2 linked regions of the Struthio camelus genome follow. The protein of the gene in region 1 interacts with the protein of each later gene in a pairwise test. Links are inferred from orthologs where the notes say so. Each region holds a gene or a part of one and is shown on either strand. Other genes may lie near its edges.

The links. The genes of interacting proteins can lie anywhere in the genome.
Region 2: the proteins of MKRN2 (region 1) and RACK1 interact in binary tests that used the Homo sapiens proteins (3 or more experiments, as listed by UniProt). The two-hybrid records come from large-scale screens. The link is inferred for Struthio camelus from reciprocal best matches to the Homo sapiens genes MKRN2 and RACK1.

What each region holds. Positions count from the first base shown.
Region 1 is NC_090955.1:20,005,955-20,016,139, forward strand, and holds the start of MKRN2 (E3 ubiquitin-protein ligase makorin-2), read right to left. Parts: upstream 4,653-10,185; 5' UTR 4,556-4,652; coding exon 4,530-4,555; exon of another isoform or gene 4,260-4,529; intron 3,999-4,259; coding exon 3,870-3,998; intron 2,179-3,869; coding exon 2,000-2,178; intron 1,239-1,999; coding exon 934-1,238; intron 1-933. Other genes in the region: MKRN2OS (MKRN2 opposite strand protein), read left to right, coding at 4,857-5,065, 5,362-5,411, 6,516-6,678, 9,490-9,709. UniProt on the Homo sapiens protein: E3 ubiquitin ligase catalyzing the covalent attachment of ubiquitin moieties onto substrate proteins.
Region 2 is NC_090977.1:570,813-580,903, forward strand, and holds the start of RACK1 (small ribosomal subunit protein RACK1), read right to left. Parts: upstream 4,274-10,091; 5' UTR 1,962-4,273; coding exon 1,853-1,961; intron 865-1,852; coding exon 693-864; intron 565-692; coding exon 417-564; intron 1-416. UniProt on the Homo sapiens protein: Scaffolding protein involved in the recruitment, assembly and/or regulation of a variety of signaling molecules. Interacts with a wide variety of proteins and plays a role in many cellular processes.

The DNA.
Region 1 (10,185 bases):
CTTGCGCAGCATTGTAAGGTGAGCTGGTGGCGATAATTGCATAGTTTTAACTCTCGCTTTTCAACATTCTCAGGACTTGACAAATAACATAAATTTAACAGACTTAAGAAAAGAAGGACACAAAATAATTCCACGTTAACAGCACCAGCATTCCAGAGGCTGACTAACAGACAGCAACGGTGACAGGATACCGTGCCGAGTATCAACAAGCCCCTGGGGGAAGCGAGCACTCCTACCCCTGCATGTGCTGCGAGCAAATGCTGACAGCGTAAGAGCCGAGGTTTGGGCCCCTTGAATTCTACTCTAGGCTCTGGAGAGCTTTACCATTTACCGCTAAAACTTCTGGTCTTTTCCTCCTCTGCCTCAAAAACTCTTGTTCCTTCTCAGCCCTTACCCAAATCTGGCAGACAAAAAGAGAAAAGACCAGACTCTTGAGCCCATCTTTACCCAACTAATTCCTCAACCAGCCTTCCTGCCTCAAATTGAGCTCCAAAATCTTTGTCCTCTGTTCAGTTTGTTTATGCTGCCCTGAAAAGCAGCCACATCAAGCTGCGACATCTGAAGAGGTGAGTCCGGAGACCGGCAGGATGACCTAGCTGAAAGCACCAGCTCTCTAGAATTCCTCCTCCCTCTGCTATACATAACATAGTGTTGAGACATCTGATATAGCTACAAAAGATGTTTTCTAGACAGTTTTAGGTGTTTTGGGGGAAGATCGGAGGCAAGTTTCCCATTAAGATGAAAGGGAGAAAAATAAGTTGCTGTGAAAGGCTATCTGCATCATTGCTACCCACGAGTGTAAGTCCTAGATGCTTGAGCAGGCCTCTCTCAGAATCATTTTATACCTCGACAAACAAAAAAAGCCCTTTGGAACAACAGGCTGCTCTGCAGAACACATCTTCGGATTTCAGAGCAAGCAAACCAAAATATTACCATCTCATGAGCCTTCCTCTGTTCTTGGTCAAAAGGATGAAGTACTTGCAATCCACATATTTCACACACGTCTCCATGGAGGTAAAGGCAGCGATCTCCAAAGTGGCATGCTCCTGCTGCAGCGTAAGGGCATAACTGCTCTCCATCAACACAGGAACTTCCAGCTACTGGATCTTCCAGTCCACTGCAAATAGCTTCCAAATACGAATGGGGTTTCATTTCCAGATTATCATTTTTGTCGCTGCAACATACCACATCACTTGTGGCACTGGGTTTCTGCTTTTCTTCATTCAAACCACACAGATCTTAAGAAATAGAAACATAACATGAACCATTCAAGGCACAGCACAAAACTCACATATGGAGCTCCACATACTTTCTTTTCAATGATTGACAGTTCAAAAAAAAAAAAAAGTTTTCTTTAGAAGGAAATTTTCTCATCTCAAAGCCCCTTTTGCTCACAAAGCGCAATAACTTTTTCCATCAAACTACCTGCTGCAAAGCCTGATTTTAAGGTCTTTTTAGCTATCTTCTGCTTACAAATAGGACAAAAATCCTCCAAATTCACATGTGGGCAACTGACACGTAGAGTGCGATAGGAAGAACAGGGTGGGGAAATCGTGTAGGCGTGCCAGTGACCGGGGGGGGGGGGGGGGGAGGTGGCTCCCCTGTCCTCAGGCATCAGGCACGGAAGGATGTCTCTGTGCTTGTGCTAGTTCAGTCCCCCAACCTGACAATACCCTGGTATAAAGCAGTCAAGTTTCTCACCATTTCAAAAGCCCTCATGTTGAGAACAAAACGCACAAAAAGATCTGAGGGGCAGGGAATCTTGAAGAAAAAAAATCTTTCAGGGAACACCAGGTTAAAAACCAGCCAGTTAAAACTGATATGATTACAAGCTACTGACAGGCATGGGTCTTTCGAGAAAAGGGATCTCATGAAGCAGGAAGGCATACTACACCACTCTCTAGCTGTCAGTGAAATATAATTAATTAGAGGTGTAAAACTAGCTAACTTCTATCAAAGATGAGAGGAAAGCATTGAGGAACGTCAGCAAGGTACTCACTTCTGTCCCTGAGCACTAACGTCTTCTTTTCCCGTTTGCCAGTCTCATGCAGTTTGCTCTTGATTACTGGTGCGCTCTGCTCTGGGGGGTGGCGAGGATTGTGCAGGGCTGATGATGAAAGGGGAGGCGGCACAGGACCCGCTGCACCCCCCGACGCAGGAAGTCTGGTGTGATCATATCTACAGAAGGGAAAAGCCAGAATAAACGCTACAAAGACTAAACTCAGGGAATAGTGGAAATGGAAAGGTCCCCTGATGAACACCTTCGCCTTTATTTAACATAAATCAAACTGAATAGCTGTCTTAAAAAAAGGGTTATTTTGACAAGAAGTTGACCTAACAACAGTCAGCTCGGTCCCTTTCAAAGCCAGGCCACTGGGTTTCTCAGTGTCTCTGAAACACCTACGAAAATGTACGCCTCTGAAAGCACACCTATATTTTCTTCTCCGGAGACGTGCAGCATGGCATGGCTGAAAGAACATTATTCATGTGCATATTAAATTAGATCTTCGTCATTCCCTCACACAAACAGGTTTGCTGACATTTCTCAAAAAAGCGACATCAAAACGCTATGCAGTAATGAGTGACGTTTTATGATCGCTCATGTTCCCCTCACAAGCAGTAACACAAACTTTATGCCCTCGCACCACAGGCAGAAGATGCACTATTTGAACACGGGCTAGGAAAGGACTCGGAATATCCAGTAAAGCTCTGGAAATATACTCCAGCAATAGAACAGAAGCAATTAGTGCAATAAAAAGGCTGGTACAGTAAAGCCACGGACATACCTGAATCCTAGAATATTTTTGAAGGGAAGGAGAGAATTCTCCCTGTTTGTTTCTAGCCCTGTACGTAGCACCTGCAAGTTTGCCATACACACGAACAGCTTGCGTGCATCAAGTGCCCTGAACACCAACAAGGCAACTGGAGTAAAACCAACACGCTCTGCAGCTGTCATTATTTCCCAGTCAGCATACAACGTGGTCCTGATGAATAATAAACTACAAATTCAGTTTGAGCAACTAAAGACACTTATAGAATACACTAACATTCAATCTCCCAATCCAAAAGCAAATACAACTAAGCCATTGCAAACACAACGATGCTGTGAGATCTCCCGTTCTTCTCAGGTGAACGTACAAAGCTTTCTTACCTGTGACCAGAATTTTTCCATGAAGGAGTCATGAGTTGCCCTGTGGCACATCTCTCATGGGATGTAACAACGTTTACTAACATCTAATATTTACTAGAGTATTTCCCAAAGAATTTTACCAAGAAGGCTTTAGGAAAGGGTGTGGCACGTCTTCCACTTTCCCACAGAACCTGACAGAGGGTGAATAAAATCACTTTGCTCTAACACAGAACTGACAGTCCTCCACATTCTGCATTAGGATCTGAAAGAACAAGGCTCCAACCTACATCACATGAACTGAGTAAAGCACTTCTGAAACACTGTCCGCTTCCATCCAACTCAGCAATATGAAAAATAAACAATTCCAGTAGATACTACTTTGTGCAATGGTACACATCAAAGGTTGTTTTTAGCAGTTCTTAATAATTTAACAGTTCTTAAAATACTACTAAGAACTGGGTGAAAATACACTTGAAACCTGAAATTTAATTTCTACAGAGTAAGATAACTGCTAAAGCTAAAACGGAGCCAGACAGTATTGCATTCGTAAGCTGGTTTTGGCAGAGGAAAAAAACCACCTCATTATTTAATATATTATTTCATTCCTTTTGTCATTTTAGAAGTCTCATCCTTTCTTGATCTTCCATTCACTGGAGTCTAAGGCCTACTGCACATGATTATTATTTCTGGTTCTGAAAAGCTCAACACCCCCCCCCCCCCCCAAAACTATGGTCTTTACCTGCACCGAGTTCCATAGGCACACTGTCCCTTCTGGTAATATTTGCAAATAGTAGACGGCTTGCTTGTAGATAAGTCATGCGAAAACAGACACTTATTTCCCTCCCGACATACTCCTTGCATATAATACCTGAGAGAAAAGTAATTATGGTCATAGACACCTGTTTTGTAAAAATCAGCATAGCAGTGGTTTACTTCCCAGAAGAAACTTCAGCTAACATTTCCAGCTCAAACCTGATCTTTGGCCTTTCTCCAAAGGAGAATCCTCTGTTAGGAAACGATGCATAAAAAAGCTACAAAGCTCTCTACGCCTCCCCCCTCCCTCCAAACAGCCCGAGACAACACAGACACCACCTCCCCTCGTCCCTCACAGACGCACTTGGCCAATTACCAAGTTTTTGACCGGTGTCGCTGAGCTGGGGGGAATCCGGGAAAAGAGAAGCGCTCCCGCCGCCGGGCCGGGCCGGGCCGAGGGGAAGCGCCAAGGCTCGGGGGGGGTGGGACGCCTTGTCGCCACCGTGGGCCGAAGGCCCCGAGCGGCTCCGCTGTCCCGAGGGGCCGGGGCTAAGCCGGGGCTGGGACAAGGCCAGGCCAGGCCGAACCGAACCGAGCCGGGCCGGGCCGAGCCGGGCCGGGCCGGGCTGGGCCGGGCCGCGCTCACCTGCAGGTCACCTCCTTCGTGCTCATCTTGGCCGCCGCCCCGCCGGCGCCGCCGCCCGGCCGGCTCCGCGCGGCGCGCGCTCTTGGTTCCGCTCAGCCTCGGGAGAGCGCGAGGCGGGGCCGGGCCGGGGCCGCCCTCCTCCGCGCGCTCCCCGCCCCTTGGCCAGCCAGCCAGCGCCGGGGGACACCATTCAGTGACGCACCGCGCCACGGAGGCGCGCGAGGGCAGGCTAGAGCGTCGCTCACGCGAGCCATCGAGGCGAGCGGAGGCCGGAAGGCGGCGCAATGGGTTTGGCCGGGCCGGGCTCGGGGCAGAGCGGCGGCCGCCATGGCCACGGCCGCCATCGTGCGGCTGCGGCACTGCGGGCCCGACATCTTCTGCCGCCGCCCGCCGGCGCGCTGCCCGGCCTGCGGCCGCCCCCTGCGCGGCGCCGCGCTGCCCGCCGCCCCCGTGCGCCTCCCCAGCCCCTTCCGCCGCGGGCACCGCCAGCGCGGCGCCTTCCTGCTGCGGCCCGCCGGCCCCGCCGCCTTCCTCGGGTACGGCCGGGCCGGGCGGGCGGGCGGCGGCGGCGGCGGCCTGGGGGCCCGGGGCGTCGGCTGCCCCCCTTGCCGCCCGCGGGCTGCCCTCGGCCGGGGGAGGGAGCCTGCTGGGGTTTGCGGCCCCCCAGCTTCACGTGCCCTTCGCCCGCTGGCGGCTCCTTTCCGCCTCCCTCCGGCCTGCCAGCGGCCTGGGGCCGGGTAGCCCAGGAGGTAGCAGCTGTTCTGGGAAAAGGGACGTTTGAAGGCCGTGTCTAACGGGAACAAGCACAGAAATACTGCTCTTTTCCTTTCAGAGGCTATGATGGGAAGTCCGATCTTCATGTTGGAATCAGCAACATGAATGGTAAGAAGTGCTCTGGTGCCTGCTGCCGGTCTCCCATCCCTCGTGTGTAAGCTGTGTTCCCAGTTTAGCTTTGCCGCTCTCCGCCTTCGAAGGCGATCGAATTGCGTGACAGTCATTTCAGAGCCAAATCTATTGCTGTGCAGCTGTTTGGAACTTAATGTTAAAAAGGCGAGCTGTAGCGCCCCGGTATCTGATGTTTGCTGCTGAAGAACGCACGCTTCCTCACGCTGCTGCGGGTACGCAAACCGGAGGCCTCGCTGTTGACGTCTAAGGAGTATCGCTCACAGGCCGAAATACCTTGGGCCGACCGTTTATCGTGCCCTGCAGCAGCGAGCACAAAGAGCTTCAAATCAGAGCCCCTAGGCCGTGGCTCCCCAGGGCCACCTCCGTTCTGAGCAGCTGCACAGAATGGCATGCACCGCTGACTGCTCTTCCTGGACTCAGAAATAAAAACGCAGCAGCCTGTCCTTCTAAAGAAGTTTCAGGAAACTTCCAATTCAGCACAGTTTTTGCTAATTCTCAAAATACAGCCGTAATGATACAAAAAAGTCATGTTAGAAATTGTATTTTAAAGGAAATCCTGGTCCGTGTGCTGGATTAATGTCTTCGATATTGATACCTAAAAACTTTTATATTTTATTCTGTACCACATACTTTCTGTTTTCTAATTTACTCATCTTGAACAACAAAGTGGGACTGTTCTCAGTTCCTTATCCCTTCCTAGTTGATTTACTCTCCCGTTCTCACACAGTAGAAGCATTGAGCATGTCTCAATTGCAAACATGTCAAGGGAATGTTTATTTAATATAGAAATGGTCTACTTTGGGGTTTAAAAAAGAAGCCTTTCTGTCCTTAAGTTGTCTTCGTTATGCAAAGATATGCGAAAGCACAATGTTGAATTGTGAACAGTTCCTTGATTTAAAAAATAATAATAATTAGGTTTCACTCTGTAGCAGGAGGAGGCCACTGATCGGAAAGCTATGGTATAACTAGTCTAAATAAGAACGGCGTTGTGGAAAATCAGTAGCAGCTTTCATCACTGGGGAATGGCTTTCCACCTGATCCTTCAGTACTACCTGACTGTCTGCTGCTCTCTATTTTCAGGCTTGGTATATAATTACGATGAAGAGGGCATTCACAGAGATGAAACTGGATGGGAACAGTGCATTAGTATCCCACTAGTACAGCCAGACATGTTTGGGCTTCTTCACCAATGGGATAAGCTCCTAGAGGAATTTTCTGCGGGAGAGGCCTGGCTACCTCACAGGTAGGTAGCTTAAAAGCTGGATTTAATAGGAGTATTTAATCTAGGATGATAAATTTGGTTATTCTGTTTTGGATCCTCCAAGGCTTCAGAGGCTTGCTCTGTTAGACACGCGTGTCTAACAAGTCTAAACAACTCTTAAGTAATCTAGAAACTCATTGGCCTTGCTAAACAGAACAATAGCATTAAAGTAGTAACTAACTTAAACTCACCTGCTGGAATGTAGAAGCCTTAACCGAAAAGAATGTTTTCGGGAAGTTTTCTTCAGCAACAAAATAATTTTGCAGGGGAAAAGACCAATTCACTGAAACACAGCCTTAAGGAATGTGCTGTGTTAAGAAAGGCTACAGAAGTAGAGAAATCCAGGTACAACTGTATAATTATATTTGTCCTAGAATTCAACTGTCCTAGGTGAATTTGGATTTAAAGGCTGAAATCCTGACCATATTGATGGGATTCTTGCTCAGAGCTGACATCCAGAGGACTCGCTCATTGCCAGTGATCAGCTCTTCCAGCTGGTTTGTAGCATTTTGTTTTGGCTGGTTAGATACAGAAAAACTTCCACGTATTTTGAATTCAACTAGTATGTTCCAACTGGAACGTTCAGTTCCCTTTTTGGCTTTCCTTGAAGTTGATGCCACTGTTGACAGTGTTACAAGTTACGCAGCCCGGCTGAAACGTGGTGCCACGTCACTAAGCTTGCTGGTGACAAAGCAGCTTGCTCTTTGAAATTTTCATTAGTAAGAGTACATTTAACAAACAGCCTGTCTGAGCCCAGTTCTACGAAGAGTTATGTTAATGGCAGTAGACAGCATCTTATATAAAAGGGGGGGGGGGGACCCAAAACAGGTTTAGCAGTTCTGTAGGTGCTTGACCGTAAAATTTCAGAGCAAGTTATGTCCCTAATATCAGGAGATGCAAGAATTTGATCTAGGATCCAATTTTAAGTGTCTATAGAACAAAAATCCCATTGGTGTTTCAAGTATCTGACACTTTTACAATTCCCGGTGCATTAATGTTGTTATTAAAATTAATGTGCTGTCAAAAAGCAATGGTAGAGGAGAGGGTAGGTGTATGTACCTTTCTTTGATTTTTCCCTTGAATGCAAAGAATAGTTGATAGATACCCTGTCTGCCACCTCCTGTCAAAGTGGCCTACTTGTTCCAGAAATAGAAGAGTGACCACTAAAGTGCTGAAAAGTGAGTTTTTTTAGAAGTTAATTTAAATCCTCGGTTTATTTTTTTTAACAGGACAGGAACTGTGCTAAACTAATCCTGTACCTCTCCTTTGGGTTTGGGCCAAGCCTAATTCTAATTCTCCTGTTTGCTTTTCACTTACTGGAAGGATGGTATATAAAGGCAGCAAACAACAGCAAGTGCAGACATGACCAGAAATATCTTACGTTAGTGAAAAATATTGGGTTTTGCTTGTTAAGACATCAAGACATGCTTCCCAAAAAAAAAGACACTAACTTGGAAACACAGATGCTAAGAAGGGTATTACAGAATCAATTGCATTATGAAAAACAAAGAGAGTCTGCATCCAGAAATGAGATTTGTTAAACATCTGCTCTACTCTATCATGGCACTGATTCACTAAAGCACTTATGCATATACATAAATTTTCAGGACGTGCTGCAGTGCTTTGCAGACTCAACACTGAGCTAAAGTTAAACCACCATTTTTTGCAATGGAATTTCCAGATGTTTTGCACCGCACAGAGATGGTGGTCTCTTGAAGTTGCTCAATTTTGCTTTAACAATTATTTTGGTAAAGTAAGTACTCTGCAGCACATGGCTTACTTCCAAAATGGGAGCTCATAGGTCACTTAAAATAGACTCAACAAACCAGAAAAGCTTTGGAGAGAGCAGTGAGCAACCCTTAACTGGACAAGTTTTGATAGCAATAGTCTCCAGATCTTGCAAAAACATGCAAGCCTTATACAAAATTTCCTGTATCAACACAGACTATGGAGCCACTAACAATATGAAGCAAGGAATGAGTCACAGGGCTAGGAAGAACAAAGGGAAAATGACACAGGCAATTACAGAAGCAGCTTGAGGATTAGGCAGATGGCAGACAGCAGTCTGACCAGGTCCGTATCAAATGCAATTATACAGGACCAATGGCAAGAGTAGCACTGTGCAGTGACGAATGGAATAAATTGCTGAAGTTGTTAGTGACTACATGAAACATTTCGGAGAAGCTGAATAACATTATGACAGTGAAAAGAGAACAGCTAAGTGCCATATGCAGGTATTAAAAAAAAAAAAAAAGGACAAGAAAAACATTTTAAACGCTGACTCCTATTCAGTTAGTATTTCTGTCCTTGCACACTTGGCACAATTTAGTACCAATGGGAGTTTGACTGGAACACTGCATAGCAACTCTATCGAGATACTAGTGATAGAATTTACTTGGTTTTAAGTAGGCTTCCAGGTTAATGCCACGCTGAAAGCAGTGGAGGTGGTGGTACATAATATTACTGCTGCAGGAAGCAGTTTTCAGGATAACAGAGTAACGATGTATCAGTTCAAAGAGTGAAGGTTAGCAAGGCAAAAACCTAATGTGTAGGTAAAAAAACCTCATTAGACTCTGCAGCTTTTTTTTTTTTTAAAGTTTATGGTTTCTAGCATCTCTGGCTTGGAAAGTGCAACCTGCTATATGTAGAATATATTTAAGCACCAGCATTAAAGGCAAGCGGCAGTAGTTCTTGGAGAACATGTGCGCCTTTATGTTGCTCAATAAAATATATTCCTCCACACAGTAATTAAAAAATTAGTGCTAACACTTATTAATGATATATTTTTCCTAGGTATGAAGAACATGACCACAACTGCTACACATACGCACTGGCATTTATTAACAGTGTGCTGACTGCACAAGGGAAGCCGCAAATGAGTAAAAGTGAATTCACAGAGAAATTTGTGATCCCACAGACAAAGAAAGCTTCCAAATACATTACTCTGCATCAGGAGTTAACAGCTAATGAGTTCTACATTGTATACCATCCTGATCAAGAAAAACAGTGCTGAAATTAAGCTGCTCCATTAAAATATCTACAAAAGGAAAAGGAAGTCTTAGCATCCAACTTTCATGGTTTAAGGTATTTGATCTGTAAAATCACGATTTCCTTCGCCTATGTTGGCCAGCTTGTTATGAAAGGATCATGCTCTTTGCTGCTAAATTTGTATATGTGAATGAAGTGACATGCAATTTACACACTACTGAAAATTTATATGGGAACTGTTCATATGGAAAAATGTTTTCCTATTTATATTTGATATACAGCATGTTCAGTCAAGATATTTAGCATTAGAAATTGTAATTGCTGTGTAATTAAGGGTTCTAACAGATGAACTGTGGTAACTTTAACCCCTAGCAAAACAAAATGTTATTTTCTCAACTGTCACATTTATTTACGGACGGGTATAAAAAGGGCATTTATAGCTGCATACTGCTGAAGTCTAAAGTTCTTGACTAACTGTAGATTCACCACATGCAAAGTTAC
Region 2 (10,091 bases), on another chromosome or scaffold:
TTCACGGCGAGGGAACGCGGCCGGGTGGTTTTCCGCCCGCCGCCACCCCATCCGCGCGGCGCTGCAAGAAGAGACGGGCCGCGCGCCGTCGGTCCTGCCCAGGCCTCCTCTCGCCCTCCTGAGGTCCCCTCATAATTGCAGGACTTGTCCTCAGGCCCCCCCCCGCCCTGGGGGAGGTCGGCAGACACCATATCGTGTCTAATCATCAGGGACGGGGCTGGAAGAGCTGGATCCCCGCTCAAGAGCGACCGAGCGGGGGGCGGCGCGGACGGGTAGACCCAAAAACAAAGCCACGGAGCTCCTTTCTCACGGCGCGACGGAGCGGCTACGCTCCTGTTCGCCGAACGGGGGCGGCGTGATCCGAAACCGTCCCCCCCCCTCCACTCCTTGCCCCGGTGCCTCCTTCCCCGGCTCACCTGCACCGTGTACTTGCAGACGCCCAAGGTGTTCCAGAGCTTGATGGTCTTGTCCCTGGAGCCCGAAACGATCTGGCGGTTGTCGGACGAGAAGGCCACGCTCAGCACGTCCTTGGTGTGGCCCACGAAGCGGCGGGTGGTGGTGCCGCTGCGGGGGAAGACGCAGGCGCGAGGTCAGGATGTCCCCCCAGCCGAGGGGCCCGAGTTCCCCGCCGTCGGAGCCCGGCGGCCGGGCGGGCTCCCGCGCCTGCCCTCTGCCCGCCCCGGCTCGCTCACGTGGTGAGGTCCCAGAGCCGCAGCGTGCCGTCCCAGGAGCCCGAGAGCGCGAACTGCCCGTCCGAGGAGATGACCACGTCGCTGACGAAGTGCGAGTGACCGCGCAGCGCTCGCTGCGGGATCCCGTAGTTGGTCTCGTCCCGCGTCAGCTTCCACATGATGATCGTCTTGTCTGGGCGGCACCGAGAAAGAGCAGGGAGAAGAGTGAGCCGGGCTCCCCGGCGGCCCCGCTGCCCTTCTTCCCCCAGCTCCCGGTCTCCCCTTGCCTGCCTGCCTCCCTCCCTCCCTCTTCGTCCTCAGGCCCACGGTCTCCCCCCGCCCCCCTCCCTCTTCTTCCTTCCCGACGGACGTTGTCTTCTCCTGCCCCTCTTCTTGCAGCCCGTGCTTTCCCCCTGCTCCTCCACCCTCTAGGCTCACGGTTTCCCCCCGGCACACTCATAGTCTCCCCCCTTTTCCCCTCCCCAAGGTCTCTTCTGCTCCTCTTTGCTCCCAAAGCCGGTGATCTTCCCCCTCTTCCCTCCACCTCAGCTGGTGGTCTCCCCCTGCCCCCCCTCCCCTGTCCTCCGGGCTGACGGTCTCCCCCTACCCCCCTCTCCCCTGTCCTCCGGGCTGACGGTCTCCCCCTGCCCCCCTCCCCCAGGCCGAAGGTCTCCCCTGCCCTATCTTCCCCCTCCCCTCCAGGCTGAGGGTCTCCCCGTGGCCCCTCTCCCCTCCTAGCCTGACAGCCTGCCCCATTCCCCCCTCCACCCCGCCAGCCTGATGGTCTCTCCCCCACCCCGGCCAAGGCTCCCCCTGCTCCTCTCCCCACCTCCATGACCCACACCCACCCCCAGCACCTCTTTCCCCCCACCCGGGGGAGGCCGATGGTCTCCCCCCCACACACACACCCGGGGGGGCGATGGTCTCTCTTCCCCCCCCCCCACACACACACCCGGGAGTCGATAGTCTTCCCCCCCCCCCCCCACTCGGGGTCGATGGTCTCCCCCCCACACACCCGGGGGGCGATGGTCTCCCCCCCACACACCCGGGGGGCGATGGTCTCCCCCCCACACACCCGGGAGTCGATAGTCTCCCCCCCCCACTCGGGGTCGATGGTCTCTCCCTCCCCCCCGTCCCCCCCCCCCCCCGGAGGGGGGTGGATGGTCCCGCCCGGCCCTCACCGCGCGAGGCGGAGAGGATCATGTCCGGGAACTGCGGCGTGGTGGCGATCTGCGTCACCCAGCCGTTGTGGCCCTTCAGGGTGCCGCGCAGCGTCATCTGCTCCGTCATGGCGGCGGCGGCGGCGGCGGCGGGCGGATGGCGGCGGATTCGGCGCAGGCCCCGGGCCGCTCCCGCTGGCGGCGGCGGCAGGCGGCAGGCAACCCCGGCCGGAGAAAGAGCGACGCCACTTCCGGCGGAACCGGAAGTGCCCGCCGAGGCGAGGGAGGGGGGCTGTACGGCCAGCGGGCAAGATGGCCGCGCCCAGTGAGAAGGGGGAACATGGCAGCGCTCGTGAGGCGGCAGCGTACGGAAGAGCGAGCGCGGCTCCCAGGAGGCAACAGCCGAGGGGGGAGCCGGTACCGGCGCGTCCGGACCGGAACCGGGCTGGACCGACCCCGACCGGGCCTCGCGGGCTCGTCCGGACCGGAACCGGGCTGGACCGACCCCGACCGGGCCTCGCGGGCTCGTCCGGACCGGAACCGGGCTCTACGGACCCCAACGGGGCCTCGCGGGCTCATCCGGACCAGAACCGGGCTGGACCGACCCCAACGGGGCCTCGCGGGCTCGTCCGGACCGGAACCGGGCTGTATGGACCCTGACGGGGCGCTACGGGCTCGTCCGGACCGGAACCGGGCTGTACCGACCCGAAAGGGGCCTCGCGGGCTCGTCCGGACCGGAACCGGGCTGTATGGACCCTGACGGGGCGCTACGGGCTCATCCGGACCGGAACCGGGCTGTATGGACCCTGACGGGGCGCTACGGGCTCGTCCGGACCAGAACCGGGCTGGACCGACCCCGACCGGGCCTCGCGGGCTCGTCCGGACTGGAACCGGGCTGTATGGGCCCTGACGGGGCGCTACGGGCTCGTCCGGACCGGAACCGGGCTGGACCGACCCGAACGGGGCCTCGCGGGCTCGTCCGGACCGGCACCGGGCTGTATGGACCCTGACGGGGCGCTACGGGCTCGTCCGGACCGGAACCGGGCTGTATGGACCCTGACAGTGTGCTACGGGCTCGTCCGGACCGGAACCGGGCTGGACCGACCCCGACGGGGCGCTACGGGCTCGTCCGGACTGGAACCGGGCTGTATGGACCCTGACGGGGCGCTACGGGCTCGTCCGGACCAGAACCGGGCTGTATGGACCCTGACGGGGCGCTACGGGCTCGTCCGGACCGGAACCGGGCTGGACCGACCCCGACAGGGCGCTATGGGCTCGTCCGGACTGGAACCGGGCTCTACGGACCTGAACGGGGCCTCACGGGCTCATCCGGACCGGAACTGGGCTGTATGGGCCCTGACGGGGCCTCGCGGGCTCGTCCGGGCCAGAACCGGGCTGTATGGACCCTGACGGGGCCTCGCGGGCTCGTCCGGACCGGCACTGGGCTGGACCGACCCCAACGGGGCCTCGCGGGCTCGTCCAGACCGGAACCGGGCTCTACCGACCCCAACGGGGCCTCGCGAGCTCGTCCGGACCGGCACCGGGCTGTATGGACCCTGACGGGGCCTCACATGCTCGTCCGGACCGGAACTGGGCTCTACGGACCCCGACGGGGCCTCACAGGCTCGTCCGGACCGGCACCGGGCTCCACGGACCCCGACGGGGCCTCACAGGCTCGTCCGGACCGGCACCGGGCTCTATGGACCCCGATGGGGCCTCACGGGCTCGTCCGGACCGACACCGGGCTCTACGGACCCCGACGGGGCCTCGCGGGCTCGTCCAGACCAGAACCAGGCTCTACGGGTTCGTCCGGACCGACACCGGGCTCTACGGACCCCGACGGGGCCTCGCGGGCTCGTCCAGACCAGAACCAGGCTCTACGGGCTCGTCCGGACCGGCACCGGGCTCACACCGATGTCGTGGAACCAGCTCCCCCCACCTCGGTTCCCAAGAAGCAGCGTCTCCCGCACGTCCAACGACTCAATTAATTATTTAATGAAACGCCGGAACGAGGCGGTAACGGGCGGGGCCTCCAGGGAGGAACCCGCACGAAACAGTCCAACGTTAAACAATCGCCCTTTTGACGGTTTCGTTTCCCCGCTTTCGCGCCCCGGCGGTTTCCTCCCGCCTCCGCGCGAGCGGCTCTTCCCTTCGCTAAGGGCCCAGGCGTCCGGGCCCGCGCCGGGCTCCTACGCGCCCCTTTAATACGCTCAGTCAGGGGAGGGGCGCCGCCCCTCTTTAAATAACAGTAATAAATAGAAAAAAACCCAAATTAAATAAATCCCACTTAAATAAAATAAAATAAAATAAAATAAAATAAAATAAAATAAATAACCAGGGGAGGGTGCAGGCAGGAGCCACCCCGAGGGCAGCACCCAAAGGTGCCGGCTGCCACCCTACCCACTCCCCACAAGTGACAGGAGGGTCCCTGAGGTGCAGCCCCGAGGCTACGGTGATGGGCACCGTCACAAGTCCATCATCCTGGGTGCCGCCCCACGGCGGGTGCCGGGTCCTGGGTGCCGCCCCACGGCGGGTGCCCCTCAGCGGGCCGCGGGCCCTGGGCCAGCAGCGGGGGGCAGCAGGGCAGGGGAGAGCAGCGGCCGGGGGCAGGAAGGGGCACCCGTGGGTGCCCCGGTCCCCAGGGTGCCGTTAGGTGCCTGCAGCCCCGCGGATGTCCCCAAAACTGTCCTGTCCCCAGATGGGGGGGACCCAGGGGTGGCCCCGAGCGTCCTGGGTGCTGTGGCGGGTGTCACAGTGGGTGTCGTGGGGGTCTTGGCGGGCGTCGTGGGGGTCATGGCGGGTGTCGTGGGTATTACTGGTGTCCTGATGGGTGTCACTGGTGTCATGGGGGTCCCGGCGGGTGTCCTGGGGGTCCCGGCGGGTGTCCCGGGGGGCGTCCCCTCCCCGGGGGTGCTGTATACCTGGGCGCCCACCACCGCCAGCAGCAGCACCAGGAGCCTCTTGGCCGGACTCGGCTCCTCGCCGGGGGGCGTCCGTCGCACCTGGGGGGGGGGAAATCAGTCCGTCAGCAACTGCCCTGGGGGGCAAATTAACCCCCCCCGAGGGGACAAATACCCCCCCAGTGCTCCCACGTGTCCCCCATTCGCCTCCCAACCCGCCCTGGCCCTGCAGCATCATTGGGGTAATTAAAAAATCGCCTCCCCCCCCCCCATGATGGGAGCCTCGGACACCTGGGCCCACTGCGGGGGTGGGGGGGGATGAGTCAGGTGGAGAAGGAATCATGAATCACCCCCCTGCGGCAGGGGAAATCGGCAGCTTCCGGGGGCCCAGGAGTCCGGGCAGCCCTCAAAATACCCCCAGAGAGGGGGGGCCCAGGCATCCGGGGAGCCCCCCCCCAAACACCCCCAGAAGGGGGGGCCCAGGCATCCGGGGAACACCCCAACACCCCTAAGGGGGCCCAGGCGTCCAGGGAGCCCCCCCCCAAAACACCCCTAAAAGAGGGGGCCCAGGCGTCCGGGGAGCCCCCCCCCCCAAACACCCCCAGAAGGGGGGGCCCAGGCATCCGGGGAACACCCCAACACCCCTAAGGGGGCCCAGGCGTCCGGGGAGCCCCTCCCCCAAACACCCCCAAAAGAGGGGGCCCAGGCGTCTGGGGAGCCCCCCCATAACACCCCCGGGGGGAGCCCAGGCGTCCGGGGAGCCCCCCCAAAACACCCCTAAAAGAGGGGGCCCAGGCGTCTGGGGAGCCCCCCCCAAACACCCCCAGAAGGGGGGGCCCAGGCATCCGGGGAGCACCCCAACACCCCTAAGAGTGCCCAGGCGTCCAGAGAGCCCCCCCCAAAACACCCCCAGAAGGGGGCCCAGGCATCCGGGGAGCCCCCCCCAAACACCCCCAGAAGGGGGCCCAGGCGTCCGGGGAGCCCCCCCCCAAACACCCCCAGAAGGGGGCCCAGGCGTCCGGGGAGCCCCCCCAAAACACCCCTAAAAGAGGGGGCCCAGGCGTCTGGGGAGCCCCCCCCAAACACCCCCAGAAGGGGGGGCCCAGGCGTCCAGAGAGCCCCCCCCCAAACACCCCCAGAAGGGGGCCCAGGCGTCCGGGGACCCCCCCCCAAACACCCCTAAAAGAGGGGGCCCAGGCGTCCGGGGAGCCCCCCGCCCCCCCGGCGCTACTCACGGCGGGCGGGTAGAGGACGCGGCGCTGGCGGCGGCGGGGCCGGGGGGCGGCGGCGGGCGGCGGCGGCGGCAGCTCGAAGGTGAAGCGCCGCGGCGGGGAGGCGAAGCCGCTGCCCGGGCCGCCCCCGCCGCCCGCCGCCGCCCGCCAAGCCGCCCCCGCCCCCGTCGTCGTCGTCGTCGTTGTCGCCGCCGCCGCCGCCGCCATCGCTGTAAAATGGCGGCCGGCGCCGCCGCGCCCTTCTTATAGCTTCGCCTCCCCCCGCCCCGCCCCCGCCGCCCCGCCGGCGCCTCCCATTGGCCGCGCCGCGCGGAAGGCCGGGGCGGGGCGCCGACCCGGCTTCCGATTGGCTGGCGGGGGAGCGGGAGGGAGGGAGGTGAGGTCGGCGGGGCGGGGCGGGGCGGGGCGAGGGAGGAGCCGGCTCCGCCCACCGCGGGGGCGGGGAGGGGGTAGGGGGGAATAAGGGATATGGGGCTATAGGGCTTATGGGGGCATATGGGGGGTATAGGGGACATAGGGGTATATAGGGGGTATAGGGGGTATAAGGGTTATGGGGATATAGGGGGATATAGAGGGTATAGGGGGATATAGGGGTTATAGGGGATATAGGCAGTATATGGGATATAGGGGTTATGGGGGATACAAAGGGTATAGGGGATATAGGGGTTATGGGGGACATAGGCAGTATAGGGGATATAGTGGTTATGGAGGATATAAGGGATATAGGGGAAATAGGGGTACATAGGCAGTATAGGTGATATAGGGGTTATGGGGGAATATAGGGGGTATAAGGGATATAGGGGTTATGGGGAGATAGAGGTGATATGGGGGGTAGAGGGGAATATAGGTGGTATAGGGGTTATAGGGCATATAGGGGGTTATGGGGATATAAGGGGTATAGGAGGTATGGGGGTATAGGAGGATATAGGGAAGTATAGGAGATACGGGGTTATGGAGGGATGTAGGGGGTATGGGAGGATATATGGGATATGAGGGTATGGGGGGATATAGGGGTTTCAGGGGATATGGCGGTATAGGGGATATAGAGGGTATAGGGAGTGTAGGGGATATGGAGGGTATAGGGAGTGTGGAGGAATATGGGGGTATAGGGAGTATGGTGGATATAAGAGATATAGGAAGTATTGGGGGGTATAGGGAGCATTGAGGGGGTATAGAGCAGTATGGAGGAGAGTATCAGGGTACTGGGGCTGCATGGGGTCCATGGGGGGGTATAGCAGCATATAGGGGATCATAGGGTGCATTGCACTACATAGGGGTGTGTAGGGGTCCATAGGGGGGTATGTGGGTGTATGGAGTGCACAGCGGTGCATGGGATATAGGGGTACATGGAGGGTAGGGGGTGTATAGGTGTGTAGAAGGGCTCCACTACTATATAGGGGTGCATATAGGAGGTATACGGGGCCATATGGGCACATAGGCGTGCATGAGATATATAGGGGTATAGAGGAGGTATAGGGGTGCAGGAGATATTCTGTTGTATAGGGGTGTATAGGAGTGCACGGGGGGGTATAGAAGCACATAGGGTGCCAGGGAACATATGGGCAGACGCAGTGTATGGGGCGCAGAGGGGGTGCACTGTCGCATAAGGGCACACACGGGTGTATAGGGGCATACGGGGGCACGTGCAGTGCATGGGGAGTGGGGGGGTGTATAGGGGTGCATAGGGGTGCATAGGGGTGCGGGGGCCCTATGGGGGGGGTGTGGGGGCCCTATGGGGGGGTGCAGCGGCCTCACGCCCCCCACCCCCTATAGAGCCCCAGCCCCCCTACACACACCCCGACCCCCGTAAGGCCCCTATAGAGTCTCACCCCCCCACCCCTACACCCCGAAACCCCTATAGGTCCCTATGGGCCCCTATAGCCCCCCCTCAACACGCGTGTCATGCCATGGCCGGGTTTTTTCCAGGTTGCACAACCCGAGGCGGATACGTGCGGGGGCGCCCGGACGCCTGGGTCCCTCGGCAGGGGGGGGGGGGGGGGGCCGGACGCCTGGGTCCCTGGGGGGGGGGGGGGGCCGGACGCCTGGGCCCTCCCTAGCCAGCCCCGTTTCGGGAGTGTGACGCAACCCCCCCACCCCACCCCGGTGACTCAGGGCTCAGGAACTCGGGCGTCCGGGAGCCTCCCCTCCCCCAGCGAGGGACCCAGGCGTCCGGGGCTTCTCCCCACCCCCCCCCAAATAAAAGGGACCCAGGCGTCCGGCTGAGGCTCTCCCACACCTCGCATCCCCCAGGGGCCCAGGCGTCCGGGCCGCGCCTGTCGCAACGGGCTCTGAGACCTTCCAAGAATCGTTGCTTCACTGAGCCGGGAAATCCCCGGACGCCTGGGTCCCTTCCCGGACGCCTGGGCCCCGGGCAGGTCTCTGTGCGTCAGAGAACGGGGGCGGGGAGGCAAGCCGGACGCCTGGGTCCCCTGGGGGGAGGGAGCCCCTGCCCTTCCCCCCCCACCCCCTACCAAGGGGGCCCAGGCGTCCGGGCGCCCCCCACCCCCGGGACAGACGAGGCAGAAACCAGCAGCTCACCAAAAAAAGAAAAAAAAAAGAAAAAAAATTCTATATATTAAGTGTAAAAATTTCCGGCTCCGCCCAGCCCCTCCCCCACCCACCCCCACCCCTCATTAACCCCCCTCCCCGCACTAACGAGGCCCCCGCGGACAAATGAGAAAGCGGCTGAAAGGGTCGAGTGGAGACAGCCCGAGTTGGAGGGGCCCAGGCGTCCGAGTGGTCCCAGGCGTCCGGGGAGGGCCCCAGGCATCTGGGGAGGGGCCCAGGCGTCCGGGTGGTCCCAGGCGTCCGGGGAGGGGCCCGGGCATCTGGGGAGGGGCCCAGGCGTCCGGGTGGTCCCAGGCGTCCGGGGAGGGGCCCAGGTGCCCAGGAAGGGACCCAGGCGTCCGGGAGGGTCGCAGGTATCCGAGGAGGGTCCCAGTTGTCCGGGAGGGGCCCGATGTCCGGGAGGGGCCCAGGCGTCCGGGAGGGTGCGGGGGAGGGTCCCCGTGTCAGTAGTGTTTGGCGTTTCCAGTGTTGGGTGGGGGGAGGAGGAGGAGGAAGGTGAGGGTGAAGAGGAGCATGAGGAAGGCTACGGTGAGGGCGGGGGTGAAGAGGAGGAGGAGGAGGAAGGCGAGGAGAAGAAGAGGGAGGATGAGAGTGAGAGGGAGGATGATGACGGTGAGGACAAGGATGAGGGAGAGGATGAGAAGGGCGAGGAAGAGCGCGAGGAGGGCGATGGTGACAACGAGGAGAGCGAGGAGGAGGAGGAGGGGCAGGAAGGAGAGGACGATGCGGGTGAAGATGATGACAGCGAGGGCGAGGAGGGCGAAGACGAGGAGGGGGAGAAGGAGGAGGGCAAGGAGAGTGATGAAGAGGAGGGTGACAAGGAGGCGGAGGAGGCAGAGGAAGGTGAGGAGGAGGAGAGCAGCGAGCAAGGTGAGAATGGCGAGGAGGAAGAGGAGGAGGAAGAGGAAGGCGAGGAGGAGGAGGAAGAGGAAGGCGAGGAGGAGGAGGAGGAGGAAGGCGAGGAGGAGGAGGAGGAGGAAGGCGAGGAGGAGGAGGAAGGCGAGGAGGAGGAGGAAGGCGAGGAGGAGGAGGAAGGCGAGGAGGAGGAGGAAGGCGAGGAGGAGGAGGAAGGCGAGGAGGAGGAGGAAGGCGAGGAGGAGGAGGAAGGCGAGGAGGAGGAGGAAGGCGAGGAGGAGGAGGAGGAGGAAGGCGAGGAGGAGGAGGAAGGCGAGGAGGAGGAGGAAGGCGAGGAGGAGGAGGAAGGCGAGGAGGAGGAGGAAGGCGAGGAGGAGGAGGAAGGCGAGGAGGAGGAGGAAGGCGAGGAGGAGGAGGAAGGCGAGGAGGAGGAGGAGGAGGAAGGCGAGGAGGAGGAGGAGGAGGAAGGTAAGGAGGAGGAAGAGGAGGAGGACGAGGAGGAAGAGGAGGACGGCGAGGAGGAAGGCAAGGAGGATGAAGAGGAAGAGGAGAATAGCGAGGAGGAGGAAGAGGAGGAGGGTGAGGAGGAAGAGGAAGGCAGGGAGGAGGAAGAGGAGGAGAAGGAGGAAGAGGAGGAGGAGGAGGAAGAGGAGGAGGAGGAGGAAGAGGAGGAGGAGGAGGAAGAGGAGGAGGAGGAGGAGGAGG